Linked DNA regions of Canis lupus familiaris. The protein of the gene in region 1 interacts with the protein of each later gene in a pairwise test. Links are inferred from orthologs where the notes say so. Each region holds a gene or a part of one and is shown in the gene's direction. Other genes may lie near its edges.

Region 1 (3,500 bases):
GCCCCAGCAGAGCCCTCCTACCGTGCCCCCATGGAGAAGCTCTTCTACTTACCTCATGTGTGCAGCTACACATGTCTGTCTCGAGTCAGGCCTATGAGAAGTGCACAGTACCGGGGCAAGAATCCCCTGTTGGTCCCACTACTCTATGACTTCCGGCGAATGACGGCCCGCCGCCGAGTTAACCGCAAGATGGGCTTTCATGTTATCTATAAGACACCCTGTGGCCTCTGCCTTCGGACAATGCAGGAGATCGAACGCTATCTTTTTGAGACTGGCTGTGACTTCCTCTTCCTGGAGATGTTCTGTTTGGATCCATATGTTCTTGTGGACCGAAAGTTTCAACCCTATAAACCATTTTACTATATTTTGGACATCACCTATGGGAAGGAAGATGTTCCCCTATCCTGTGTTAATGAAATTGACACAACCCCCCCACCCCAGGTGGCCTACAGTAAGGAACGAATCCCTGGCAAGGGTGTTTTCATTAACACAGGCCCAGAATTTCTGGTTGGTTGTGACTGCAAGGATGGGTGCCGAGACAAGTGAGTTGGTAGGGTAGTTGCTGGCCCTGCCTCCAACTTTGTTATCCTTGCCTTTACTTTCTACCACTTCTTTTGCCTTAGATCTCCATTAATTTCCTATTTACATCATTCCTCAGCTGGAGCTCCTGCCAGAAGACCTCCATGAAAGCTATGAGCGAGGCTTGGGTCTGATGTGGCCCCCACTGCATGACTCTGGGGACTTGTGCCCTGTGTTTGTTTCTCGGATTCTCCTTTTCCTTTGTGTCCCTCCATCATGCTTATAGTTGCCACTTCATTTCATTCTGTCACTCTGTCACGTTCTTACCGTCTTTTCCTTTCTCGTTTACATGTATGACAGAAGAGAAATTTCACTGTCTTCTCCCTTATCCTTCTGTAGTACTTCTTGCCTCTAAATGTCTCACAGCTCTAGCCATCATATCCTTTTTTTTTTTATTCAGGTCCAAATGTGCCTGTCATCAGCTAACTATCCAGGCCACAGCCTGCACCCCAGGTGGCCAGATCAACCCTAACTCTGGATACCAGTACAAGAGACTAGAAGAGTGTCTACCCACAGGGTAAGTAGGGGAAGGCAAAGCACCTCAGAGATGGAGTTCTAAAAATTGGAACCAGGGATCCCTGGGTGGCGCAGCGGTTTGGCGCCTGCCTTTGGCCCAGGGCGTGATCCTGGAGACTCGGGATCGAATCCCACATCGGGCTCCCGGTGCATGGAGCCTGCTTCTCCCTCTGCCTGTGTCTCTGCCTCTCTCTCTTTCTCTCTGTGTGACTATCATAAATAAATAAAAATTAAAAAAAAATTTAAAAAAAAAAATAAAAAAAATAAATAAATAAAAATTGGAACCAAAAATAGAGTAACTGAAACCAGGTAAACCAGGTATTTTATCAATTAAATCTTACACACTGAATTTCTTTTTTTTTAATATTCATTTATTCATGAGAGAGAGAGAGAGAGGCAGAGACACAGGCAGAGGCAGCAGGTTCCATGCTGGGAGCCCGACGTGGGACTCGATCCCAGGGCTCCAGGATTGCGCCCTGGGCCAAAGGCAGGCGCTAAACCGCTGAGCCACCCAGGGATCACCCCCCCCCCTTTTTTTTTAATATTTATTTATTCATGATAGAGGCAGAGACACAGGCAGAGAGACATACTGAATTTCTTTTTTTTTTTTTTTTTTTTTATTTTTATTTATGATAGAGAGAGAGAGGCAGAGAGGCAGAGACACAGGCAGAGGGAGAAGCAGGCTCCATGCACCAGGAGCCCGACGTGGGATTTGATCCCGGGTCTCCAGGATCGCGCCCTGGGCCAAAGGCAGGCGCCAAACCGAGGCGCCACCCAGGGATCCCGACATACTGAATTTCTAGTACATGTTTCTTCCTTGGGCTTTCCTTTAAATGAAGACTTCTAATGATTGAATAGGACCTAGCAATTGCAATTGTGTCATAGTTATATGTATATTCTAACAGACTGTGGTTATGCTGGCAAGGGAGACGTGTTCATAGAAAAGTATGCAGGGACCTGGTTATATAGGACTTTGTAAATGATAATAAAAATTAGAACCAAATTGTGGTATGATAGAAAGCTGTTAGAGAATTTTAAGCAGGCAAATTATGCCAGCTGCCTTTTGAAGGTTACCATGGCTTCTTGGTGGAGACTGGGTCTTAGAGCAGCAAAGGTAAAACTGAGAAGTCCACTTAGAATAATTATGGGAATATAGGCGAGAGGTTGTGCTTGCTGGGGCTTATACTAGAATGCTCACGGAGAGTGGAGCTGAAAGAGGGTAGAGTTGGGATTTGTTTGGCGGTAGAGCTACAGAACTTGATAGATGGACTGGCATGGGAGAGAAGCAGCGGAATCAAGTTCAAGTTCTCTAAACTTTATACTTCAGCAACAAAGTGGGCATTGGTACATTTTACTGAGATGGAAGACTAGAGAAGAAGCATGTCTGGGTGGAATTCAGCTTCTGTTCGGGCCATGTTACTTACGTTTGAGGTGCCTCCTAGGCACTCCAAGGAGAAATGTCAAGAAGGCAATGAGATTTCTGGAGAGAAGTATAAGAGCTGGACATAAGAAATTAGGAATTCTGAACACAGAAGTGGTATTTAAAGCCTGGATGAGTTCACCTAGAGAGAATATTGATAATAGAAAAAATTAAGGGGGCACAGGAGTAAGTACTGGGCTCTCCAACTAGAGACTGAACAGAGGAGGTGAAGCCAGCATATAAATTTGAGAAAGGCAGGTCAGGAAAAGAGGAAGACAATGCAAGAGTTGGATATAAAACTTGGTAAAATGGTTATATATGAACATAGTAACTAACAAACCTGGTGCTCAAGATACATAATTAGAAGAGAGGAGAAAAACATGAATGAATACTTCAGAAATTTTCCCATAATCGAAGAGTCTGTTTGCCTTTTTTTCTTTTTTTAGAGATTTTATTTATTTACTCCTGAGAAACACAGAGAGAGAGAGAGAGAGAGAGAGAGAGAGGCAGAGACACAGGCAGAGGGAGAAGCAGGCTCCATGCAGGGAGCCCCATGTGGGATTTGATCCTGGGTCTCCAGGATCATGACCTAGACCAAAGGCAAACGCCCAACTGCTGAGCCACCGAGGCGTGCCTGAAGAGTCTGTTTTCAAATAGAAAATGATAGTCATGTCCTGCATAATGGGTGAAAATATATTATCCCCACTAAAATATTAAAAAATAAAATGTAATCATGTCCACAGAACACTGAAGACACAAAATTAAAAACCCTAAAAGCTTCTAAAGAAGAGAAATAGACCACAAAAATACTCAGATACCTTCTGCCTTTGCAAAATGACTTTGGAAGCTAGATGGAAATTAAAGACTCAGTTCAGAATTCTAAGGGAAATTATTTCTAACTTGGCATTCTAAACCCCAGACTATGAATTTTAAGTGTTAAAATAAACTAAAGACATTTTTTAGACATGAAATACCTCAAAATTGT
Region 2 (4,087 bases), on another chromosome or scaffold:
CGAGCCTGAGCTCTTACATCCTCCACTAGATGGTTAAGGAGAATAGAAGTTAAGGTGGAAGGAGTGGCAAATAGAGTCATGAAATGATTTTAGACAGGTTGTCCCGAACGAGATACTGATCTCTTCCCTCCTTACTCTCATTCCCCTAAAGGGCTAGGAAATAAGGAAAGTCAGAGGAACCTGTCTATTGTCGACCTAAGTGTCTGTGAGCAGAAGCAATTTGGGAAAGTCCAAGTTCTGGGCGGGAGCAAGGACTAAGAAAGCTCGCACCGGGGGAAAGAGGGAAGCAGAACGACCCCAAACAAGGAGTCACAGGGTTTGTGGAAGAGCACAAATCATTCTCACGCAGTGCTGAGGTCCAAGGTGGTGGTGGAGGTAACCTCCCTGCACACGCTCACTCCTGTATCTGTCCATCTGTACACAATGTGTAAAATACCCACACATACACAAACGCGCATATCATTGCCTCTCCCTGTTGCAAAGAACCTTGCAGGTTAAGTGTTTCTGTCTCTTGCTCATTGGTAATTTCTCCGCCAGAAAGCACCGTCTTATTTTAACGCTCCCTGGAAGAGGTGGAAGTTGGAAAGATGGGAGGGCATCACCTTGACACTCCTCCGGTTGGGTCACTGCATTAGTGTGCCTTCCGTCAGTCCGTTAGTGCTGGCTGTGCCCTGAGATGGGTATTGTCCCCACCGGGGGCTACGTCTTTCCAGACAGCCCCATCACTCCTTTAAAGGGCCAGCGACTGAGACACCGGAAAAAAAAAACCCGCATGCACACAGGAAGCGAGCACTCGGTAAAAATTTGTTGAATGAGCCAATGAATGAAACAAAGACACAAACGAGACCAGGTCTCCCCGCGGCAGTGAGGCCGAAAGGCTCCAGCGCCCGTCCCGCCCCCGCCTCGTCTCCAGCTCCCTGACCGCCGCGCACAGAGGGAGGCGCGGAGCGAGGAGCGAGCGCCAGAAGCGCTCAGGCGCGGCCTGCAGCTCGGCCCTGGAGCCGGGTGGCCCGGGTTGCCATGGCACCGCCCTGGACTCCACCCTCCCCCGTCTCCCCGCACCCCCGCCGGGTCTGGCAGTCGGTCACGTGCCCCGCCGCGTAGCCACACCTCTGCTCCTCCGAGCGGAGTCGGGCGGTCACGTGTGATAGCAACAGATCACGTGGCCGCCGTCGCCCCGCCTGCCCTCTCCCCTCCCCGCCCGCTTCCCGGCCGAGGCCGCTCTGGCCGCCCCTCTGCGCACGCGCGGCTCGTCACGTGGCCCGAACGTCCGGCTTTCGCCCCGCCCCGCCAGTTTCCGCGCGCCTCTTTGGCAGCTGGTCACATGGTGAGGGTGGGGGTGCGGGGGCCGCTCTAGCTTGCGGCCTGTCTATGGTCGGGCCCGGAGCGTCCAGCTGCCCCGGACAGAGCTCCTGTGTATGGCGCCGCAGGCTCTGGCTCCGGGGCCCCGATAACGGGCCGCCCCCGCAGCACCCGGCGCCGAGTGAGGTGAGCGTGGCGCCTTCCCGGGGACGGGACCGCTGTCGCCCTCGCGTCTGCCTACGCGGGCAGGTTACGGGAGGGTCGCTCGAGGGCGGGAAGTGCGGCCCGCGCAAAGTTCCTTTGTGGTCAGCTGGGATGTAATGGTAGGGACGGATGTCGAGTCTTCGATGCAGGGGGTGTGTCGTGTGCGGTCTGCCCCGTGCGGGGCGCGACGGCCCGTCCCCGAGGAAGAGGAATTCTTTCTTTGAGGGATTCACGTTTATATTTAAGGCGTGGGTTAAATAACCCCCCCTGGCGGGGTTGGGGTTAGAGCCATTGTGTCAGCTGAGGAGCCAGCCTCACGGAACTGGGGAGAGGGACGGGGTGGTGGAGGGGGGGTCTTTGTGATGCCTTGTGGGGGAGTCACCTCGTTGCGGCAGGCTCATACCACCTGAACTCTTGAGGGATTTTCGGTGGCAGGAGGCTTTTGTGATTGTAGGGTCTTCTCTGATCCGAGAATGGCTACTCCTCGGTACGAGCCAGTGGCTGAGATTGGGGTTGGTGCCTATGGAACGGTGTACAAGGCCCGTGATCCGCACAGCGGCCACTTCGTGGCCCTCAAGAGCGTTAGAGTCCCTAATGGAGGAGGTGCCGGAGGGGGCCTTCCCATCAGCACAGTTCGTGAAGTGGCATTGCTGAGGCGGCTGGAGGCTTTTGAGCATCCCAACGTTGTCCGGTGAGAAGGTGGGGGGTGGGGAGTGGGTAGTAAAGGGGAAAAGACAACTTGTAGGTGGGGATTCTGGGGAAATGGGGAAGGCCGCATCGGGTCCAGAGGGATTGATCAGTGAGTGACCACTTGTTCTGGCCAGGCTAATGGACGTCTGCGCCACTGCCCGAACCGACCGGGAGACCAAAGTGACCCTGGTGTTTGAGCACGTGGACCAAGACCTGAGAACGTACCTGGACAAGGCACCCCCACCGGGCTTGCCAGTGGAGACCATCAAGGTGAGTAGGGTGGGTGGACACTGAGGAGTAGATTGAGACCTTTGTGGCAGAACCTGCTGTGATTTCAGGTATGGTGCCTAGTTCCAGGTCCTCTGTTCTTCCCCCTTCTAAACCAGGATCTGATGCGCCAGTTTCTAAGAGGCCTAGATTTCCTTCATGCCAACTGCATCGTTCACCGAGACCTGAAGCCCGAGAACATTCTGGTGACCAGTGGTGGGACAGTCAAGCTGGCTGACTTTGGCCTGGCCAGAATCTACAGCTACCAGATGGCACTTACGCCTGTGGTCAGTAGCAAGAGGGGAGTAGGAGAGGGGTTGACCGTAGCAGTTGAGAAGTCGGGCACTTTGTGACTTTAGTCAACCAGTTATGGTTCATGGTAACCCATGGGGTCTTCATCCACTTTTCTTGTTCCTATTAGGTTGTTACACTCTGGTATCGTGCTCCAGAAGTTCTTCTGCAGTCTACGTATGCAACACCCGTGGACATGTGGAGTGTCGGCTGTATCTTCGCAGAGATGTTTCGTCGCAAGTATGGGACCCAAGCATCCTGAACTATTTTGAGTTTCCCAAACCAAATCTCTTAGTCATAGATCACATCCATTTCCTGCCCAATCTTTCACTTAAGTATTGTTGACTGTTCTGTCCCTAACCAGAAACTCTGAAATGTCCCAAAGTTAGGAACTTCACATCCCTGTATTCCCCCACACTCTCTGTTTTGAGCCATTACCTACCAGTAATTATTCCACTACTGTATCTTTGGACATGACTTCTGTGTTTTTTCCACCTTAGGCCTCTCTTCTGTGGAAACTCTGAAGCTGACCAGTTAGGCAAAATCTTTGAGTAAGTGACCAGCATGAGGGGAGAAAAAAAAAACTTTCCATTCCAAATCTTTTTTCTGCTGAGCCCCACATGGCAGTTGGCTCTGCCCCTGGAGATGTGGGCTAGAGAAAGACCCTCTTGACCAGAGCTCTCCTGTTCCCCATAGTCTGATCGGGCTGCCCCCAGAGGATGACTGGCCCCGAGATGTGTCTCTGCCCCGAGGAGCCTTTTCCCCTAGAGGGCCCCGTCCAGTACAGACAGTGGTACCTGAGATGGAGGAGTCTGGAGCACAGCTGCTGCTGGTACTGGGCGTGGGCACGGGCACAGGCTGAGGATGGGGTGGAAGACCGAGCACTAGCATTGCGGTTACTAAGACTTGGTTGGTGGATGGGCTAGTTTTTACTGGCGCCAGTGAATAGGCCATCCATAAAGAGGGATGTAGAAAATAGCCCATCCTAGGTATTGTTGGGGGTGAGCGGAAGTCTTTTTCTTTTTTTTTTTGTTTTGTCTTCATGACCTTTTGATCTTTGCCTCCCCTTCTCAGGAGATGCTGACTTTTAACCCACACAAGCGAATCTCTGCCTTCCGAGCCCTGCAGCACTCTTATCTACAAAAGGCAGAAGGTAACCCAGAGTGAGCAGTGGAATGGCTGCAACGGTAGCAAGAGGAGAGAAGCTGTCTTTTCTCTTCCTTTGAACACTTGAGTGGAGAGCTCCCCAAACTAAGAAGGCAGTCTTGACCTTCATCTCTGAGGCTGTGGAAACAACTCCCACTTTTTACAGAGAATATTTTGCTGCCTTAAT
Region 3 (4,297 bases), on another chromosome or scaffold:
GCGGGCAAGGGCGGGGGGGGGGGCGGACACCCACCCCCTCCCCGGGGCGCGCACTCCCGGGCCCCGCCCCGCCCCCTCCCCCTCCCCTGCCGCGCGCCCGCCCGCGCCCGCTCCCGCGCCCGCGCACGCGCACCGGCCGCGAGCGAGAACAGAGCGGACACACCTAACCTGCGCGCGCGCGCCCCGCGCCCCGCCCCCACTCGGGCCGAGCCGCGCAGCCCGACCCGGATCCGCTCCCCCGCCCGAAGCGCCCCTCCCCTCCCTTCCCCTCCCCTCCCCTCTCTCCGCGGCCTCGGCGCCTCCGCCAGCCTTCGGCAATTTCCGGCGCTCGGCGAGGCCCGAGGCCCCGCCGCCGCCTCCTCCGCCGGACCCGGCTTTCTGTCTGCGGCGCCGGGGCGCATGCGCAGACGCCATCTTCCTCCGTCTCCTTCGCCTGCCCCCTCCCCCTCCCCCCTGCCGCCGCCGCCGCCTCCTCCTCCTCTCGCCGGCGGTCGCCCCTCCTCCTCCTCGTCCTCCTCCTCCTCCTGCGCTCGGGCGCTGGTCCCTCCTCTCCCGCTGCCGCGAGAGACTGGGGGACGCGGCGGAGCCGGAGGAGAGCACTAGTAACAACCACCACGGCCCCCTCCCCGCCCGCCCGCCCTCCGCACCCACCCACTCGCCGACACCGGCCAACCCCACCTCCCGTTCCTTTGAACGGCGTCGGCTGCAGTCGCTTGCACCAGCCCGTCTGGCCCCCAGCGCCGCCGAGGAAGGAGCCGCCCGCGAGGACGAGGACGAGGACGGGGACGAGGACGAGGAGCCGAGCGGCTCGCAGCCCGCCGCCGCCCCCCGGGGAGGCCCGGGCGCCGGCCCCTTCCTCCCCGAGGACGCGTGCCGAGCCGAGGCGCCTGCCCCGAGGGAGGAAAATGCTCGGGCTCCATGGCTGCCAGTGATGGAGCGGTCCCTGCGCTCCCGCCGCCGCCGCCGCCGCGCCCCGGCCGTGCTCCGCGAGGACCCGGCGTCCCTGCGCGCCCGCCCGCGCCCCGTTGCTGGGCTCACCGTACCGGGCGCCCCGCCGCCCCGCTCCGAGCCTCGCCGCCCCGGCCCCGGCCGCGGCCAGCGTCTGCTCACGGAACAGCCGCCGCGAGCCCAGGGGGTTTGAAAGGGTCCGCGGGGCGCGGGCGGGGAGGGCCGAGCGGGGCCGGCGGGGCCGGGAGGGGACAGGCTTGAGCGACCCTGAGCTCGGGGCTCGGGGCTCGGGGGCGGCGAGGGGACGGCGGCCCCCGCTCCGCGCCGCCTCGGCCGGTGCACGGCGCCCGGGAGGCTCTTGCAGCGGCCGCCGCCGCAGGGGCTGCGGTGCCCCCGAGTCGGCCGGAGAAGGTGGGCATTTCTCGGCTTCCCCACCTCCTCCTCCCCCTCGTCTCCCCCCCACCCCACCCCACCCCACCCCACCCCCACCCTCCCCTGCCCCCTCCCTCCTGCCCCGCACCCCACGTGAAGGCGGACTAGAGAGGGGGGTGTGAGACTAGAGGGGAAAGTGAATGGCGGAGGACTGAAGGGGTCCCCCCCGCTCCCCCACCTCTCGGGCCGCCCCGTTCACCCTCGTTCATCCTCCCTTCCCGAAGCTCGCCCTCGAAGGCAGGAGCGGCCGGCGCCTTCTGCTGAGGAGGAGGAGGAGGAGGAGGAGGAGGAGGACCCGGACCCGCGCCGGGCGGAGCGTCAGGTCCCGTTTTCTTCCCCGGCGTCTCGAATACAAAGATTACGGTGCAGAAGAAGGAAATTGCACTCGCCTCCTCCGCCCCCCCGGCCCCCGACACAATGCACCAGCCGCCCGAGTCCACCGCCGCGGCGGCCGCGGCCGCTGCAGACATTAGCGCTAGGAAGATGGCGCACCCGGCGATGTTCCCTCGAAGGGGCAGCGGCGGCGGCGGCGGCGGCGGCGGCGGCGGCGCCTCTGCGCTCAGCGCGGCAGGTACCGGCGTCGGTAGTAGTGTCACATCTTCCGAGGATTTTCCGCCTCCGTCGCTGCTCCAGCCGCCTCCCCCCGCCGCATCCTCCACGTCGGGGCCGCAGCCTCCGCCTCCACAAAGCCTGAACCTCCTCTCGCAGGCTCAGCTGCAGGCACAGCCCCTCGCGCCGGGCGGGACTCAGATGAAAAAGAAAAGTGGCTTCCAGATAACCAGCGTCACCCCGGCTCAGATCTCCGCCAGCATCAGCTCCAACAACAGCATCGCCGAGGACACGGAGAGCTACGACGACCTGGACGAGTCCCACACGGAGGATCTGTCTTCCTCCGAGATCCTCGATGTGTCACTTTCCAGGGCGACCGACTTGGGGGAGCCTGAGCGCAGCTCCTCAGAAGAGACTCTGAATAACTTCCAGGAAGCCGAGACACCTGGGGCAGTGTCTCCCAACCAGCCCCACCTCCCGCAGCCTCATCTGCCCCACCTTCCCCCCCAGAACGTTGTGATCAATGGGAACGCTCATCCTCACCACCTCCATCACCACCATCACATTCATCACGGGCACCACCTCCACCACGGGCACCACCATCCATCCCATGCCGGCGTGGCCAGTCCACCCATTCCCGGAGGGCCACCCTCCAGCCCGGGATCCAGAAAACTCTCTGCCCCTGGAAGCGCCGACAGCGTTGCACCAGCTGCACCGACTTCTGCTGTATCATCGGGAGGCTCACCTGCATCCGTAATGACTAATATCCGAGCTCCAAGTACTACCGGCAGTATAGGTATAAGTTCTGTTACTGGCGCTACTACGGTGAATAATGTTAACATCACTGCTGTGGGTACTTTTAATCCTAGCGTGACAAGCAGCATGCTTAGTAATGCCAGTATAAATGCGAGCAATATCCCTAGTGCTGCTAGTGCGAGTGTCGGGCCTGGAGTTAGCAGCGGTGTGAATGTGAATATCTTGAGTGGCATGGGCAATGGTTCTATTTCTTCCTCCGCTGTTGTTAACAGCGCCCCTAATGCAGCTGCAGGGATGACTGTGGGATCAGTTTCCAGTCAGCAGCAGCCACCGACAGTTAACACGTCGAGGTTCAGAGTTGTGAAGTTAGATTCTAGTTCTGAACCTTTTAAGAAAGGTAGATGGACTTGCACCGAGTTCTATGAGAAAGAAAACGCCGCACCTGCTGCAGAAGGTGTGGCGATGAATAAAGTGGTGGAAACTGTAAAACAAAACCCAGAAGTGACTTCTGAGAGGGAGAGCACTAGTGGGAGTTCAGTGAGCAGTAGTGTCAGCACACTGAGTCACTACACAGAGAGTGTGGGAAGTGGAGAGATGGGAGCCCCTACTGTGGTGGTGCAGCAGCAGCAGCAGCAGCAGCCAACTCTTCAAGGTATGGCTCTTCAACAGATGGATTTCAGTAGCTCTGGTCCTCAGAGTATTTCAGCAGTCAGTATACCACAGAGTATTTCTCAGTCACAGATCACACAAGTACAGTTGCAGTCGCAAGAACTGAGCTATCAAAAGCCAGGTCTTCAGCCTGTCCCTCTGCAAGCCACTCTCAGTACCGCGACGGGTATCCAGCCATCACCTGTGAATGTGGTTGGTGTAACTTCAGCTTTAGGTCAGCAGCCTTCCATTTCCAGTTTGGCTCAACCCCAACTGCCATATTCTCAGCCGGCTCCTCCAGTGCAAGCTCCCCTTCCAGGGGCACCACCCCAACAGTTACAGTATGGACAACAGCAACCGACTGTATCTGCACAGATGGTCCCAGGCCATGGTAAACCGGTGACTCAGAATCCTACTTCAGAGTATGTGCAGCAGCAGCCGCCGCCGCCGATGCTCCAAACAGCGGTGTCCTCGGGACAGCCCAGTGCTGCGAGCGTGGGAGCAGGATCGACCGTGATTCCTACGGCCCAGCCACAGAGCATCCAGCTGCCAGTGCAGCCCACCGCAATCCAAGCACAACCTGCAGGGGCCTCTGGCCAGCCTGTTGGCCAGGCTCAGACGGCAGGATCTGTGGTACCTACTGGCGGTCAAATCGCAAATATTGGTCAACAGGCAAACATAGCTACTGCGGTGCAGCAGCCCTCTACCCAAGTCACACCTTCAGTTATTCAGCAAGGTGCTCCTCCGTCTTCACAGATAGTTTCACCTGCTCAAACCGCGATTATTCATCAGGGAGTTCAAACTAGTGCTTCGAGCCTTCCTCAACAATTGGTCCTTGCACCCCAAAGTACCTTGTTAACTGTGCCTCCCCAGCCGCAAGGAGTAGAATCAGTAGCTCAAGTTTCGCAGCAGTTGCCTGCAGTTAGTCCTTTGCCCTCTGCTAGTAGTATTTCTGTTACAAATC
Region 4 (4,136 bases), on another chromosome or scaffold:
AATCAAAGGTCAGTTTGGAAATGCTGGTGAGTCAGACCACCGAGACACAGAGGTGAGGTGGAAGGAGGGACTACGGGGAGAGGATCTCAGATGTCAGGCTAAGACACAGAATTAATGCAGAGAGTAGCAAGGAACCAGGTTTGGGAGAAAGAGCTCAAAGGCAAGGAGAAAGAGTGAAGCCTAAAATGGGAAATTTTAAGACGGGGTGGCTTCATGGAAGGGTCCTGGGCTCTGGTGTCAGATGGGTTGAATGCCATCCATGTTCTATCCCTTACAGGCTGTTTTACCCTGGGCAGCTTACTTATGCTCTCTGGGCCTCAGCCCCATCTACATAATGGGCATAATAGTAGCATCACAAGGTTGAAGGACATAAAGCATGTAAATGAAGTAAAACTAACCATTCAAATGTGGGTTATGGCCCCCTCCCGTTGAACGAGGTGCCTGACCAGCGTTCTTTAGATCCTGTACAATCTGTGCCTGCGGCACATAGCGGCACACGCTGTCACTGCTACCGTCATCTTCCCTGTCGTTATGTACAATAACAATAATGCAATGGGTTTCTGACACAGAGAGAACGGGGTTTTCTTGGGGGGGGGCGGGGGCAGAATGCATAACTTATCAGATTCTCACATGTATCCGTGACCGGAAAACAAATAAACCAACCCAAACCAACCCAAAATACAGCCTGAAATGCAGGGAAACTAGTTAGGAAATCATAGTTGAGTGATAACCCTAGTAAGTGCTTTGCCTGTCCTGCGGTGAACGCCGGCCTTTCCGAATCCTTCACCCCGGCACATCCTCCATCCACGTTGTGGGACCTCAGTGTCGGGACTGTGCCTCCTTTATGGATATTAGCACAGCCTGTTTTCTCTACCCTGAAGACCAGGCGCCCCGAAGCCTGCCTGTGGCCAGAAGCAAAGGAGATGCCGGCGCTAGGGCTTTGGGAGCGGCGCACAGGGGCCGCCGGCGCCCTGGGGGGCTGGGCTCTGGGTCTCTAAGCTCGCCTCCCCGAGGGGAACGGCCTCTAGGCCCCGCGCGCCCCGCTCGGCGCAACCCGCCTACCTCCTTGGACAGCCGCTTCCAGGGCGCCGGGCCCTCCATCCCGCCGCGGCCGGCCAGAGGGCGCGCCCCGGCCCTTTAGAGGCCCTTTAGAGGCGGCGGCCGGGGCGGGGCCGACCGTCCAGGTGACGCGAGCCCGCCGGGTCCCCGGGGCCGCCCACGAGGGGCGGGCCGCGCTCGAATCTCCCGCCAGTCCGCGGCCGCGCGCTGATTGGCTGCGGGGCGCCCGCGCCGGCTCCCGATTGGCCAGCGCGCCCGGGATAAAGGCCGGCGGCGGGGGCACCCGGGTCAGGCTGCTGGGCGGTGGCACCCGAGGGCTCCCGAGCGGCGGGCTTCGTGCAGGCGCCATGAGCTGCATCAACCTGCCCACCGTGCTGCCCGGCTCCCCCAGCAAGACCCGGGGGCAGATCCAGGTGCCGGCGCGGGGGTGGCACCCCGGCGGGCGCGGGTGGCGGGCCGGGGTCGCGACCCGGGTGCGGGTTGGGGTTGGGGTTGGGGTTGTGGCCCTGGCCTGCAGTCCGTGCGCAGCGGGCCCCGAAGTGACCTCTCCTTCTCTCCTAGGTGATTCTAGGACCCATGTTCTCAGGAAAAAGGTAAATAAGTAATGTCCTCGCGGGGACGGCCTTCTCCCCCCTCCCTTCCGGGGGCCCGTCCTCCTCCCCTGCTGCCCCTCTCAGTGCCCCCCTGCAGGACGACCCCTCCCCCGGACCGAGCACGCGTTCCCGCCCCATGCGGTCCTGCAGGAGGGCGCCTCTTCCCTGCCCGCGGGGTTCAGACCCTTCCATGGGGTCATGGCACCACGTCGCCCCCCTGCAGCAGGTTATGGCTGCTGAGGGTGTAGTCCTCCCTCCCCCCACCCTCCCACTAAATCTCTCTTGGAAAGGAGCAGCCAAGTCTTTTCGTTTCGTTTTGGTTTTTTTTTTTTCAATTTAAAATTTTAATTCTTCTAAAATGGTGTCCTCGGTGAGCTGGGTCCTGTGCACCCTGCAGCATCCACACTCCTCCTTCCCTTCCTAGTGTTTGTTTCCTTAAGTAGTTTACACACTAAGGAGTCAGGCCAGGATGCCTTTGCTCCCCTGATGTGACAGGACGGTGGCCTGACCCAGGCAGGGCTAGTCGGCCCCCTGAGTGACGCCCTCTGCCCTGGGGGGGGTCACTGCAGGGCAAACCTGGTGCCCACCACAGTCAGGCCAGGGTGGGCTCTGGGACCCAGAGGTAACTGCTTTTTTTTCTTGAACAACAACAACAAAAGACTGCGAAGTCAATGCAGACCATGTGAAGACCTCTGGGATGGGACTCTTTGGGGATGCAATCCAGACCCCTCTTCTCTGTCGGAGGCCTTTGACTCTACTCACCCCATCAGATCCCTGAGACATTTATTCTCCCACCCCCTCCCCAGACCACCTGACCTCTGTTCCTTGCCATCACCACCCTCTGTCCTCTCTGGTTTTTCTGTCCATTGGTGGGTCTCAGGCTGTAGACCCCCAGCAGGGGTGGGGGGGGAGCCCCACTTGTGCTAATGGGGACTTCCTTAACATCCTGGGTCTCACCTAGTGCTCTGCTCTTGCAGTACCGAGCTGATGAGAAGGGTCCGTCGCTTCCAGATTGCCCAGTACAAGTGCTTGGTGATCAAGTATGCCAAAGACACGCGGTACAGCAACAGCTTCTCCACGCATGACCGGTCAGTCCCTGTTCTCTCCTGTCCTGTCCCAGCACTTCTTCCGGAAACCTGGTGAAAATGCGCAAGGGCATAGGCCATACTGTCAGAGCGCTCTTCAGCAGGACTGGTTAGCCATGCCGGTGGGCGGCATGGAAACGTGCAACTCAGCAAACTCTCAAGGTCGCTTGGCAAGGGATCTTAGGACTTGGCCTCTCACAGAGTTCTGGCCCGGTGTTCTTCACAAAGGGAGATTTTGTTCCCCCTCTCGCTCCCTCAGAGTCCATTTGGCAATGTCTGGAGACATCTGTAGTCTTCACAGCTGGAGTAGGGGAGGGCATGCTATGGGCATCCAGTGGGGAGAGGCCAGGGATGCTCCTGAATTCCCAGTGCACAGGACGGCCCCCACAACAAATACTGACCCTGCCCCGATGGTCAATAGTGCCGAGCTTACATCTGTGCTGTTGCAAACTGGTTTTGTTTAGCGTGCATGTTGCTTTTCATTTAGCTTTTCAGTTGTTTTATCTTGGTTGACTCTGTTGTCTTGTGGCCTTCATGCTTCCCAGTTTTGTGTTTATCTGCCTGTGCCCTGCACACGTTTCAGTCTGCAACCTGAGGTCGGGAATGAGAGGTTGAGTTTAGTTTTACTCTTGCCTGTTCCTTGGCTGCAGATTTCTGAGCCTGAGATGTTACCTCTTTTGGACTTGTCCGCCCGAGCCGCCAGCGGCAGAGCCACGCTGTGCCACAGGGAGGGCTTGCAGCCTCAGGACTGCCCCGTGTGTGGCTTTGGGGTGGGAATGTGGGGTTTCTGAAGCCGGGCGGGTGGTGGGTGGATAGTGTCTAGGAATTGGAGTTAAAGCATCAGGATGTGAGTGACTGGTGCTTTCTGCCGTGCTGCCCTATGCAGGTCATTTAGGTCTTGCAGTTACTTCTTCCCTAAAACATGTGTCTGCTTCTGCTGCACTGGCCAGGGGCACATCCAGGGAGGGCAGTGCGAGCAGAGGAGGCCGCATTACGCAGTGATAAGTCAGATCAGGGGCATGTCTGAACTTGGCCGGAGCCGCACACATGCCCTCTCACTTGGGCCACAGAAGCTGAGACGGGCCATGGCTGTGACTCAGCCCTTGGCGGGAGTGACAGGGCTCCAGAGATGCTGCCCTTGCCCACCCTCTGGTTTTCTCTGGCTTGGGGTGGGAAAGGGGAATTTAAAATGCAGGAAATACCATCTCCTGCTCTTGCCAGATCTTGGAGTAGACTTATAGCAAGATAATAACTGAGCAGTGGTTGTATTTTATTTTTTCTAAATACAGCTACAGGCTGCTGAGCCTTTGGAAAGTACCAGCCCCCAGGGGTACCTGGATGGCTCAGTTGGTTAAACGTCTGCTTTTGGCTCAGATCGTGATCCCAGGGTCTTGGCATC
Region 5 (4,134 bases), on another chromosome or scaffold:
CCAGAAGTCCTCACGCCCTGCATTCCAGGCCCGGGAGCTGCCCCGAATTCCCCGTTTGTCTGTTCTGCCATTCATCTGTTTCTCCAATGGTCCCTGAGTTTCTCCCTGTGCCCATCCACCATTTGACTACCCAGATGCCGTTATCAGAGGGTCTCAGGATTTTCTTCTGTCCTTGTCTGTCCCTCTGTCTCTCCATTCTCTGTGCCTGGGTGGGACTGTGGAGTTTGCTCACTGTTGCCTCACCTCTCCCTGGTTTTGTTAATAAAATTTTGAAGAACCAACAGAGATTACTACTGGTTTCCACTTTATCCAGCTGCATCTGCACTCCCAAACCCCCTGGGTGAAAGGGCTGAGGCACACCTGTATTCAGGAGGAGTTGCAGTATAGAGCTTCGAGTATGCAGTTGGCAACCACCCTCTGCTCTGCAGGAGCTCCCTTGGGCAGCGGACTATGACTTACTAAGGGAGAGCCCAATGACGTACATCCTCAGCATTTCATCTTGAAACAACGGGTATACAGTTGGCGCTATTTCATTATGTGGCTGATTTCCCCCGTGACACCCCCGTGTCAGCATCGACATCCTCCAGATTAGACACGTATTCGCTGACGGCCACAAGGTCTCTCGTTGCCCCACAAACCCCTTTCCGGGCACGTGTGTAACAGAAGTCCGAGAGCCCCCTCCGCCCGGTCGCGGGGCCCAGCGGGGCCCACAGCGCAGCCTCTCTAGGGCGCGCACGCCCTTCTCGGTGGCACGGCCCTTCTGTTTACCTGCAGCGCGGCACCGCCCCCTTCGCCCGTTCTCGCGGAGGGAGGGAGCTGGGGTCGGCTTGCGGTGCGCTCCTCCCCGCGCGCTCCTGCAACTGCTCGCGGGGCGGAGAGGACGGGACACACGAGTTCTGGGGGAGATGTTTCAGGGGCCCGCACAGCACAGCGAGATGGGAGCGAGATGGGGGCGAGAGATGAGAGGAGACCTCCGGCGCCCCCCCTCCAACTACCCCGGGTGGAGACGGCCAAAGAGCGTAGCGCCCCCTCCTCCTCCACGCCCCCTTCGGTTGGGAGAGCGCAGGCGCAAGCCAAGTGGGCGGAGTGGGGAGAAAGTGCCGGTTGGCGGAGCGAGGCGCCGGGGGCTGAACGACTCCGGGTGGGGAGGGGAGAAGAGGGGGCGGTGCAGCTGAGGCCGGCTGTCAGGGCGCAGGCGCAGTAGGGCCCGGGCCAGAGGCGCGCGCCGCCGTGAGACTAAGCGCGCAGGCGTGGGGCCCTCCCCACTAAGGGCAAGCGCGGGAGGGGCATTAGCGCGCAGGCGTCGTCTGGGGGGCGGGGCCCTAGAGGCGGGCAGCGGGTTTCCGGTTCCGGGAGCAACGAACGGCCGCGGCAGCGACAGCTACCGCTTCAGAGGAAGCGTCTGCGGAGGAGGAAGAAGAGCAGGGCAAGGCGGGAGTCACAGGCGGGACCCTCGGCATGGGTCCACGGACCTAGAGCGGCGGAAGCTACCGGCCCGGTGCCAAGCTGGTGAGACAGTTGTGGGGGTGGAAGTGGAGAGCGCTCAGGCGTCGGGGAGGGAAGCATTGAGGCTCCGAACGCTGACGGAGAGGAATGAAGGGCCCTCAGGCCGATGAGTGGGAGGAATGGCGGCGTGGGAATACTGACGGGGAGGAACGGGGAGGTTTTGGCTGAGGACGAGGAGGAATGGGGCTCAGTGTGCCGGTAGGTGGACGTGTCGGGAGTCTGGACGAGGACGGAGAGGAGCGGAGAAGGATCCGAACGCCGAGGGGCGATCTCGGTGCCTTCGGGGTTAAGGAGTGAGAAGTGGGGGTTTAGAACGCTGAGAGGGAGACAGAGGGGCCCTCAGGTTGGTGACGGGAAAAAACAGGGGCACTCGGATGCCGAAGAGGAGCGACGGGGGCTCAGATGGAGGAGGAGAAGGAATAGGGCTTCTGAAGGCCGAGGTGGGGATGGCACGATCCTGGGACACGAACAGGGAGGATTGGGGGGTGGCTTCAGAGGGCTGGGGGGGGGGAATCAGGGTCTCTGAGAGTGTCAGCGGACGGGAGAGCAAGGGACACCGACGGGGAGGAGTGAAGAAACTGCTGAAGACGAGATGAATAAGGTCTGGGGATGGAGGTCGGTGAAGACTTGTGGCTCAAGACGCTTACAGGCAAAAGGAGGAGGCAGCGTTCAGGCTGAGGAACAGAAGGAATGAGAGGATAAAGAGGGGAGAAGCTGGGGCTCTCGGGCAGAGGACACAGGAACCTGAGGCAGTGGCATGACAAGAGGACATCAGAAAGGGAAGGAGGGAAGGAATGGGAGAGCTACAGGACTGAGAGGAGTTGGGCACTCCTGGGCCAACCAGGGGAGTGAATGCGAGGTTAGGGCACCGAGGGACAGTCCTGGGACCTTGGCTGAGGATGAGCGGGATGGGGCCTCTCGGACTGATAATGGGGAGTATGGATGGTTCAGGGTGAACCCTCAGGGGAGGTGTCAACACCAGTAGGTCAAAGACCATGTCTCTTGAGACGAATGACAGGTTCCTAGGTTGGCAGAGGGGAGAAGGGATGGGGTCTCAGGCTGAAGATGAGGAAGAGGTGGGGATCAGGACATGGAGTAAGGAATGAGGAGCTTTGGGTTGAGGATACGGCCTGTTAAGTTAAAAGTGGGGCTGCCAGGTCCGGAAGGGGAGGAACGACTAGCCTCTGGGCCCAGCACACGGAAGAATGAGGTGGGACGGGGGATTTTCTCTACTGTATTGACGGGTTGCCTGTGGTAGGGACCCGGCGTGGGATGGGCATTAGTAAATAGCAGCTGTTGGTGTGGCTAGAGCACAGCATGTTCTCTCCTAGAGCCTCAGTTTTCTCCACCGTGCCCTCCCTGTTGCAGGCCGCTGCTCCTTCCCATGGCCCCCATGGCTGAGGACTGGCTGGATTGCCCAGCCTTGGGCCCTGGCTGGAAGCGCCGTGAGGTCTTTCGAAAATCAGGTGCCACCTGTGGACGCTCAGACACCTATTACCAGAGGTACTGGGTGGGTTGTGGACGGTCATAGGTAGGGCTGAACCCGCTTAGGCAGGGTGAAATAGGGTGAAATTAGGTGTGGTTAATTTTGTGGGTGGGTTAAAATTACACATGTATAGTCAATTCTTATTTGTAGATTCCATGTTTGCAAATTTGCCTACTCACTAAAATTTGTGCCCTTAAAGCCCATATTTCCTGTACTTCACAGTCTTTCACAGACCTGCACAGAACAGCAAAAAATCTAAGTAGCCTAAAACACGCATTCGCAGCTGAGGTGCTGCAGTGCTGTCTAGTGTTCTTAGTGCAAGAAGTCTGTGATGGACTTTAAGGAGAAAAATGTGATGTGCTACGAGGAGAAAGTACACATTAAATAAATTTCAGGCATGAATTGTAGTACTATTAGGTGTGACTACAATGTTAATGAATCAAAGATGTGGTACATCTAGAAAAAGAAAGGGAAATTTTCTAATTTGTCCGATTTCCAGTTTCTGGAAAGTGCTAAAGTAACTTGTATAATACATAATGGAGCTAAGGAAAAGGTGGGCTAAACTTGAAGATCCATAAGGCAATGACCAGTAACAGTGTAGTGGACAGTGTGAGAGGCTTAAGGCCAATGACGTTGACGATTGTGTTACCCCTGGTTAGGAAAATGTTAAATTTATCTCAGCTAGTGCTGACTGGCTCACACATTTCAACAGGTGAGATTGTGAAAAAACTTTAAATTGGCTTACAAGGTAGGTTCTGGAGATTGAGAATTTGCAGACGAATTTTAAAAATAATAAGTGTTATATGGGAAAAGTGTCACATAGAAGAATAGGTTTTCAATAACTGATGAGACTGTACCTTATTTTACAAGTACCTTGGTAAAAGTACCTATATAACAGTACTCCAAAGCTGGCTTTAAATCATTCGAAGGCCATACATAAGACAAGGTTACACAGAATCAGTTGACAGAAAATCAGTTGAAAGAAATGTCACCTGAGGCTCTCAGGAATCTAAACTGTAGTTTCACTAGGAGCCAAGATTCTATATTCACTAATTCACGTGTGCAACGTGACTTTATAAAACATTTCATGAATGAGAACCGGCTATAAATATGTGAACATACGTATTTATAAGAGATTTATA
Region 6 (4,215 bases), on another chromosome or scaffold:
GTGTCTGCCTTGGGCTCAGGTCATGATCCCAGGGTCAGGGGATGGAGTCTTGCTTCAGGCTCCCTGCTCAGTGGAGAGTAGGGAGTCTACTTCTCCCTCTGCAGCACCCCCTATGCCCCCCCCCATCCTGCCATGCTGCTCTCTCTTTCAAAAATAGATACACAAAATCTTTTAAAAATAAAAAAAATATATTTTATTCAGGAACTATTGCAATAAGGGGAAAGAGACCTCTGTATACAACTGAGCTCAATTACAAATACAGCATGGACCAGGGGAAATTTATAGCCATGGGGGCTGGGAGTTGTCAATGAACCTTGAACTAAGTGGAAACATCAAAGGTAAGGTGGGGGGGTGGGGGTCAGGATTCCAGCTAAACCAACTTGACAGGATTTTTCAGAAGGCAAGCCAGAATGATCACCTAATACCTGGGGATGGTGGTTGGTGATGAATTTGATTGGATATTAAGGGTAATCAGATACTGAGGGTAGGGGAATCCTTTCTGGACTGAATTGGGAGCCTGACTCAAGTTTGATCAAGGGGAGAATCTTTGCTAGAGCCTCACATTAGCGATTTTTTTTTTCTTTTCTCTTTTAAGATTTTATTTATTTGACAGAGAGAGCAAGAGAGTACAAGCAGGGGCAGCAGCAGGAGAAGGAGACTTCCTGCTGAGCAAGGAGCCAGATACTGGGCTCCATCCTAGGACCCTGGGATCATGCCCTGAGCCACCCAAGTGGCCCTAACATTAGAGATTCTAGCCAGGAGCCCAACCTGGGTGAGTGGGGGCAGCGATGCCTCCAAGCACAGGGGCCGCAGCCAAGTGCCGCCTGGAGCCCAGGTGGTCCTGTGGTCGTGCAGCTCTGGGCTGGCCTTCCTTTGTGAGTATCAGATGGAAACATTCACATTAGCAGTTTGGTAAGAAAGTCTCCATCAAGAGTGCAAGACAAAGGGGGGAAAAAAGGCTTATTCCACTGTTCTCATTTTGGTGTATTTTTTTCCCAGTCCTTTCTTTTTGCGTGCTTTAAAAAGTTTGTGCTGTCAGGAGTTTGCACCTTGGTTAACTCAGCACCCTTCGGTCTGTGGCTCCTGGAGACCCGCTGGGTACCTGCTCCTGCAGCGTCTGCGGCACTTGAAACTATATGTTGACAAACAGTGTTTTCTTTCTTTTTTATTTTATTTTATTTTGAGACTTTGTTTTCCTTAAATCGAGAGTGAAACGGGTTTCTGTGCTAACGAGGAAGGAAAGGTGCACGCAACACCCCCGCACTGCGCGCCCAGCGACCCCGCAGGGCTCACCCCGGGGCGGAGCCTCGGTGGGCGGGGCCAGAGCTCGCACCTGCGCAGTCAGGCCCAACGGCCGCCCCGCCCCTTCGCGCTGGCCCCGCCCCGCCCTTCGCGCTGGCCCCGCCCAGTTCCGGGGGGGAGGGGGACGTGTGTTCCCGCGACACCGCTCCGGCTGCTTCCCTTCCGCCCTCCATTGCCCTTTTTAAAAACTTCCTTTTATTTTTAACGGAGCGCCGCGATGGCCTCCGGCCTGGGGAGGCTGCTGGTACGGGGGCCTCGCTGCCTCCTGGCCCCGGCCGCCCGCACGCTCGTCCCGCCGGTCCGGGGCGTGAAGAAGGGCTTCCGCGCCGCCTTCCGCTTCCAGAAGGAGTTAGAGCGGTGGCGCCTGCTCCGGAGCCCGCCGCCGCCCGCGCGCCGGTAGGAGCCGCCGGGGAGGGGGGCGGGGCGGGGGCGGGGGGAAGGGGCGTAATTAAGCGTGTTTCGTCTTAATCCTGTTCCAGGACTCCGGCAGAGAAAGAAAAACATCCTTTTTTATTTTTATTTTTATTTTTTTTTTAAAGAGTCTATTTCTGTCCTCGTGAGAGGGAGCAGCAGGCTCCCCGCTCCCGGGACCGGGTCGCGCCCCGGGCCGCGGGGCGGGCGCTTACCCAGGAGCCCCCGGGCGCCGAGAGGAAGGCCCCTGCCGGCGACCTCCGACCTCCGACCTCCGACCTCGGGGTCCTGCCCCTCTGCCTCGGATGCCGCGCTCGCTGCGGGTGTGGGCCCCGCACCCCTGCCCCTGCTGTTGCGGCCGGTGAACAGTGGCCGGCGCCGAAGTCAGCGCCCCCTGGGGAATCCAGGCTGAAATTTTGATCTACTTTGGTATTCGCCTCCCCCCCACCCCCCGCCGCAAAAGTTGACCCAAAGTGTGCATTTATCAGTAAGGAATATATATGCCTGTCCGTGTTCCTGTGCTCTTTCAAAGCAACGTGAGGTCATTTTTTCCCAATAGGCACCAAACAGTATGTCTCTATTCACATTTCTTGGATTATCGTGGGGTGAGTCGTTTTAAGGCCTTTATCGTTGCAAAAAAACTGAGGGTTTATACAGGCCACGTGCCTTTTATGGCTCACAACCAAGATCTTCGTATTTAACTATCCATTTTTACCTAAACGTTTTATTTGGATTTTATTGTTTCTTTAAGAAAAAAAAAAAAAAAAACCTTTTAGGCATTATTGGGGAATGATTATGAACTTTTAACGTACTTGCAATGCTTCTAGATTATTTAGACATTTATTTATTTATTTATTTATTTATTTATTATTTTTTTTTAGATTTTTATTTATTTATGATAGTCACAGAGAGAGAGAGAGAGAGACAGAGAGGCAGAGACACAGGCAGAGGGAGAAGCAGGCTCCATGCACCGGGAGCCCGACGTGGGATTCGATCCCGGGTCTCCAGGATCGCGCCCTGGGCCAAAGGCAGGCGCCAAACCGCTGCGCCACCCAGGGATCCCAGTTTCATTATTATTAACTAAACTCCATACTTTATTCAGATTTATTTAGTTTTCACCCATTGTCCTTTTCCTATTTTGGGATCTTATCCAGGATATCACATTATATTTAGTTTTCATGTCTCCTTAGGCTACTCTTAGTTGTGACAGTTTCTTAGACTTTCTTTGTTTTTTGTTATTTATTTTTTTAAGATTTTATTTATTCATTCATAGAGACAGAGAGAGAGAGAGGCAGAGACGCAGGCAGAGGGAGAAGCAGGCTCCATGCAGGGAGCCCAACGTGGGACTCAATCCTGGGACGCCAGGGTCATGCCCAGGTTGCAGGCGGCACTAAACCGCTGTGCCACCGGGGCTGCCCTAGACACTCATTTTTTTTTTTTTTAATTTCTTTTTTTAAATTTATTTGTGATAGTCACAGAGAGAGAAAGAGAGAGGCAGAGACACAGGCAGAGAGAGTAGCAGGCTCCATGCACCAGGAGCCCAACATGGGATTCGATCCCGGGTCTCCAGGATCGCGCCCTGGGCCAAAGGCAGGCGCTAAACCGCTGCGCCACCCAGGGATCCCTAGACACTGATTTAAATGAGTGTTTTTAGGGGCACCTGGGTGGCTAAGCATCTGCTTTCAGCTCAGGTCATGATCCTGGGGTCCTGGGATTGAGTCCTGCCTGGGGCTCTGCAGGGAGCCTGCTTCTTGTCTGCCTGTGTCTCTGCCCCTCTCTCTGGGTCTCTTGTGAATAAGTAAAATCTTTTAAATATTTTTTAATACTTAAGAGATAAGTATAGAATACTTTGGTTAATAGTGTGAACCTGTGAAATTATAACTCCTATTTCATACCTAGGTATAAAGCGTAATTCCATGGTAATAGCAGAAATAAAGAATCTGAAAGGTAGGGTAACTAACGGCTTAGTTTCTGATGTTGAAGAACTTCTTTAATGTGGCAGTTGGCCCAAGGGGAAAATGAATCCATGTAATATAGCAAAGAACCACAAGGAATCATCTGACTTGAATTCTAACTTTCAGAAAATCAAAGCATGGTGTTAAAATGAAACTCAGTCGTTTTAATTTCCCTAATCAATAAAATTGCAACACAAAGGTTTTGCGTCATTGTAACATCTTGTTTTCTTTACCATCTCTTACTGTCTTCTGTTTTACTTTTCAGTTCAGAGAAGCCCAACTGGGATTACCATGCTGAAATACAAGCATTTGGACATCGGTTACAGGAAACCTTTTCCTTAGATCTTCTCAAAACTGCATTTGTTAATAGCTGCTATATTAAAAGCGAGGAGGCCAAGCGCCAAAACCTTGGGATAGAAAAAGAAGCTGTCCTTCTGAATCTTAAAGATAATCAAGAACTCTCTGAACAAGGGACATCTTTTTCGAAAACTTGCCTCACACAGTTTCTTGAGGATGCGTACCCAGACTTACCCACTGAAGGCGTTAA
Region 7 (3,500 bases), on another chromosome or scaffold:
CGTGTGTGTGTGTGTGTGTGTGTGTGTGTGTGTGTGTGTAGATGCGTCCGGCATGGTCCATGGCCGGACAAGGCCATGTGTAAATGTTTACACTGGGGTTACTAATTCAGAAGGTAGGCGTACATTTTCCATTATAAGGGTATTTACCAGAAGAATTTTAAAAATTAATGATTAGCTGGGTAACCACGGTGATAGGCGCTTTCATTTCGGGTGGTTCTTTGCTGTTTGAGTAGTTTTTGCCACTTGGCAGGTGTTACTTTAAATAATTGCTTTAATTAAGAAATGAGACAAGTTAGAGTTGCTTTTCTCACTTTTGTGCCACATGATGCTGGAATTCCAAGCAAATGCAATAAGGAAGAAGAAAATCCCCACAGAAGAGCAGGAAAGGGACAGTGTGCAGACGTGCTTTATGACACCCGTCTGTGAAGGTTGTGGGCCAAAGGATGAACATGTGAGAACCTGTTTTCATAAAGTAGCAACAAATGAAACTGTTGAAACCAGACTGTTTACAGTAGCATTAAATACTGTGGAATAAATGCAACCAGAGGCTCAGGGCCTCCAGACTGCAAACTCCAGAGCCCCACTGAGAGGAGCCAAGGATGGCGCCAGTGACCCACCACCTGGCCCCCGTGACAGGCCGGAACCGAGGCTGTGAAGATGTCCGTCCTCTCCAAGCCAGTCTACGGAGCGTCTGGGGACCCAGTGAGAATGCAGGCACGTTTCTGTGGAACTTGCCTTGCACACCCTAACGTGTAGGAGTGCAGAGTGCCCAGAGGCCCTTGGGGTGCCCAGGGTGCTTGGGAGGCCAGGGCGGAGGCTCGTTAGTAGAGGGCACCCAGCCCCATTAGCATGACAGGCAGGATGGGAGCCGGGCAGCCTGGGCGCAGGGACATGGTGATTGAGACATGGGCCTGCAGAGCAGAGTCCACACACGCCATGTGTACAGGGGCTCAGTTCTTGACCAAAGTAACAAGAGGCGGGAGGGTGGGCCAGTGAGGGGCCTGGGTCCACGGGGTATCCTAGCAGAAGACGGGAATTCCCCTTCCTCCCCAGACAGCCTTCCAGATGGACCTTGATGCCCAACAGGCAGAGCTGTGCAGTTCTTAGAGGAAGACCCGGGCGGGCGGCCTCTCCATCGCTTGGGTAGACCCAACCCGTGAAGGAGACAAGGGCGCCCCTGCAGGTGGAAAGCCGGTCAGTGGGCCTTGCCTCCACCAGAAGACCCCAGTGGGAGTGAGGAGGGGAGAAGTGTGTAGGTTCATCGGCACTTTCCTCAACACACAAAGGGCATCTGCGAATCAGAAAAGGCAGTGGCCATCGCATCAGCAGGCCCTGCCCAAGAGGCCCTCCACCCCTCAGGCCCACTCGCAGAGCAGAGGCTGCCCGCCTTGCTCCCCACATGCTGCAAGCCACAGCCAGCCGGGGGGCCTCTAGACACTGTGCCTCTTGAATATTTCCTCTGGAAAGCCACCTGCCGTGTCCACAGAGGCTGAACTTGGGGCGGCCCCGTATGCAGCAAGCAGGGCTGGAGGCAGCCGAGCGCCCGTGAACACGCCAGGGGCTGGACCATGGGAGACGGTCCCAGCAGCCAGAGGGCTGACATGCGCAACATGGCCAGTCTCCCAGATAGAGCGGTCAGGGCCGGGTTCCTTGTGGAAGTCGGCAGCGGCCCCTGTGACAGGAAGGGACTCCGAGCAGAGCAAGCCAGCAGGACCCGAAGTCGGGATCAAGGCTTTGGGGGAGGCCGCTGCGCCTTCCTAGATGAGAAGGAAGGCCGACCACTCATTTAATGAAGGACTTGTCCTCACCCAGAAGTGCGATTAGAGACACGGAAAGGGTGCACAGAGTGGGAGAAGGTCCCTTCGAGACGTGCAGCTGACGGCCTGTGTCCAGAACGTGCGTGGTGCTCCTGTGAGCCCAGAGACGGCCTGGGACAAAGACGGACGAGAGACTCGCACAGGAATTTCGAGTAGACCGTGCGTCGCAGTGAACAGGGATGCTTCCCCTGGAGTCGCCGGGTGGCTCTGCTCCGGGACCGCCGGCACCGGGCAGCTCCTCCTCGGGTCTGACGTGCGCACACCAGCAACTCTCAGGGACCTGTCACGGTGCTGTCTGTGGTCACTCGTGTCCCTCCGGCGTGGCGGTCGGTGGGCTGGGGGGCCCCGGCGAGCTGGGGGTGGGTGGCCGCCACCTGCCGCAGCACGCGTGACCGTGAGAGCTAGCTCTGCCCACACGACCAGAGCCCTCGATGGGTGCAGCGCGTACTGGGGGGGTGTTAACAGATGTGTCTGTCACTGGGGATTCGTCAGGCTTCTCTTGAGCCGTTGGACCTTTCTGGGGGTAATTGGCATTTACAGTAAAGGGGGGGTGCCCTGAAACGTCAGCTGCAGGTAACAGTCCCAGGGGGGCTCGAGGCAATTTTCTTGCTCTTTTATGTTTCATAATTTCTTACATGTGTTCTTTTTTTATTTTTTATTTTTTTACTTTCATGCTTTAAAAGAAAAAATGTGGAGTGGGGTGCTTGGGGTCCTACAGGCCTCTCTGAAGCAGAATGATCTGCTCTGAAAATGGCCACTTGTTTGGGGGCCTCAGGGTTCCTGCCCTCAGTTGTACCCCAGGACTGTCCTCACCAGCCGCGGCCCCTCTCCACCTCCTGTATCTGTCCTGGCTTGGGGAGGGGTGTGGAGCAGTGGGGGCGGCCAGGGGTGGGGCCCTCCGGGGCAGGGGAGCGGCCATCATCCTGCCGGACAGCAGCTGCCACCAGAAACGCATTTGCTTCCTCCCTGTGGTCCAGGTAAATTTGAGCCACCGCTGTTTCACCCGAACGTGTACCCTTCGGGCACAGTGTGCCTGTCCATCCTCGAGGAGGACAAGGACTGGAGGCCAGCCATCACGATTAAGCAGGTAGGGCGCCAGGGTGCGCGGGGCCAGACGACTGTGGTCTCGCTGCAAAGCCGAGGCCGACGTCCTGGGACAGTTTGCCTTTCAAACCCCTGAGCTCCATGTTTTGTCTCACACAGATCTTGTTAGGAATACAGGAACTTCTAAATGAACCAAATATCCAGGACCCAGCTCAAGCAGAGGCCTACACGATTTACTGGTTAGTAGTGGTCTGGCCCCCTCGCTGTGGCCGCTCTGGTTTGCACACACTTCCTGGGAGTCCCGTCTGGGTTGCCCATGAGAAGGATAGCGGCAGGCAGGCTGTGAGTTGGGCAGCAGTCCCTGTCGCCCCTGGCAGCCTGCGAGGGTGGCTCTGAGACACGGGCTGTGACCGGGACACTGAGTGAGGTGGTCAAGGAAGCATCTGAGGGCAGGACGCAAACAAGCAGGCCCTGGGGAGGCAGCAGGAGCTGCATGTGCAAAGGGCCTGTGGTGGGCAGGAACGGGTGACCAGGGCTGGTATGGCCACAGTGCTGTTGGGTAGGGGGTGCTCAGGAGGTGGCAGTCAGGTGATGTGGGCTCCTGTTGGCCACTTTGTCCCTGATGAGCTATGGCCAGGG

What was found.
Region 2: the proteins of SETDB1 (region 1) and CDK4 interact in a two-hybrid assay, tested with the Homo sapiens proteins (2 studies listed by BioGRID and IntAct). The link is inferred for Canis lupus familiaris from reciprocal best matches to the Homo sapiens genes SETDB1 and CDK4.
Region 3: the proteins of SETDB1 (region 1) and TSC22D1 interact in a two-hybrid assay, tested with the Homo sapiens proteins (2 studies listed by BioGRID and IntAct). The link is inferred for Canis lupus familiaris from reciprocal best matches to the Homo sapiens genes SETDB1 and TSC22D1.
Region 4: the proteins of SETDB1 (region 1) and TK1 interact in a two-hybrid assay, tested with the Homo sapiens proteins (2 studies listed by BioGRID and IntAct). The link is inferred for Canis lupus familiaris from reciprocal best matches to the Homo sapiens genes SETDB1 and TK1.
Region 5: the proteins of SETDB1 (region 1) and MBD1 interact in binary tests that used the Homo sapiens proteins (3 or more experiments, as listed by UniProt). The link is inferred for Canis lupus familiaris from reciprocal best matches to the Homo sapiens genes SETDB1 and MBD1.
Region 6: the proteins of SETDB1 (region 1) and MRPL44 interact in a two-hybrid assay, tested with the Homo sapiens proteins (2 studies listed by BioGRID and IntAct). The link is inferred for Canis lupus familiaris from reciprocal best matches to the Homo sapiens genes SETDB1 and MRPL44.
Region 7: the proteins of SETDB1 (region 1) and UBE2I interact in a two-hybrid assay, tested with the Homo sapiens proteins (2 studies listed by BioGRID and IntAct). The link is inferred for Canis lupus familiaris from reciprocal best matches to the Homo sapiens genes SETDB1 and UBE2I.

What each region holds. Positions count from the first base shown.
Region 1 is NC_049238.1:60,715,112-60,718,611, forward strand, and holds part of SETDB1 (histone-lysine N-methyltransferase SETDB1), read left to right. Parts: coding exon 1-542; intron 543-979; coding exon 980-1,096; intron 1,097-3,500. UniProt on the Homo sapiens protein: Histone methyltransferase that specifically trimethylates 'Lys-9' of histone H3. H3 'Lys-9' trimethylation represents a specific tag for epigenetic transcriptional repression by recruiting HP1 (CBX1, CBX3 and/or CBX5) proteins to methylated histones.
Region 2 is NC_049231.1:2,166,960-2,171,046, reverse strand, and holds the start of CDK4 (cyclin-dependent kinase 4), read left to right. Parts: upstream 1-1,287; 5' UTR 1,288-1,488; intron 1,489-1,960; 5' UTR 1,961-1,979; coding exon 1,980-2,197; intron 2,198-2,330; coding exon 2,331-2,466; intron 2,467-2,582; coding exon 2,583-2,750; intron 2,751-2,884; coding exon 2,885-2,994; intron 2,995-3,254; coding exon 3,255-3,305; intron 3,306-3,450; coding exon 3,451-3,586; intron 3,587-3,828; coding exon 3,829-3,921; 3' UTR 3,922-4,087.
Region 3 is NC_049243.1:6,343,633-6,347,929, forward strand, and holds the start of TSC22D1 (TSC22 domain family protein 1), read left to right. Parts: upstream 1-1,497; 5' UTR 1,498-1,797; coding exon 1,798-4,297. UniProt on the Homo sapiens protein: Transcriptional repressor. Acts on the C-type natriuretic peptide (CNP) promoter. Acts to promote CASP3-mediated apoptosis.
Region 4 is NC_049230.1:3,864,674-3,868,809, forward strand, and holds the start of TK1 (thymidine kinase, cytosolic), read left to right. Parts: upstream 1-1,336; 5' UTR 1,337-1,406; coding exon 1,407-1,472; intron 1,473-1,620; coding exon 1,621-1,652; intron 1,653-2,629; coding exon 2,630-2,740; intron 2,741-4,136. UniProt on the Homo sapiens protein: Cell-cycle-regulated enzyme of importance in nucleotide metabolism. Catalyzes the first enzymatic step in the salvage pathway converting thymidine into thymidine monophosphate.
Region 5 is NC_049228.1:78,689,940-78,694,073, forward strand, and holds the start of MBD1 (methyl-CpG-binding domain protein 1), read left to right. Parts: upstream 1-1,334; 5' UTR 1,335-1,509; intron 1,510-2,874; 5' UTR 2,875-2,890; coding exon 2,891-3,009; intron 3,010-4,134. UniProt on the Homo sapiens protein: Transcriptional repressor that binds CpG islands in promoters where the DNA is methylated at position 5 of cytosine within CpG dinucleotides. Binding is abolished by the presence of 7-mG that is produced by DNA damage by methylmethanesulfonate (MMS).
Region 6 is NC_049258.1:29,561,591-29,565,805, forward strand, and holds the start of MRPL44 (39S ribosomal protein L44, mitochondrial), read left to right. Parts: upstream 1-1,415; 5' UTR 1,416-1,519; coding exon 1,520-1,698; intron 1,699-3,933; coding exon 3,934-4,215. UniProt on the Homo sapiens protein: Component of the 39S subunit of mitochondrial ribosome. May have a function in the assembly/stability of nascent mitochondrial polypeptides exiting the ribosome.
Region 7 is NC_049227.1:39,915,905-39,919,404, reverse strand, and holds part of UBE2I (SUMO-conjugating enzyme UBC9), read left to right. Parts: intron 1-2,794; coding exon 2,795-2,904; intron 2,905-3,020; coding exon 3,021-3,100; intron 3,101-3,500. UniProt on the Homo sapiens protein: Accepts the ubiquitin-like proteins SUMO1, SUMO2, SUMO3, SUMO4 and SUMO1P1/SUMO5 from the UBLE1A-UBLE1B E1 complex and catalyzes their covalent attachment to other proteins with the help of an E3 ligase such as RANBP2, CBX4 and ZNF451.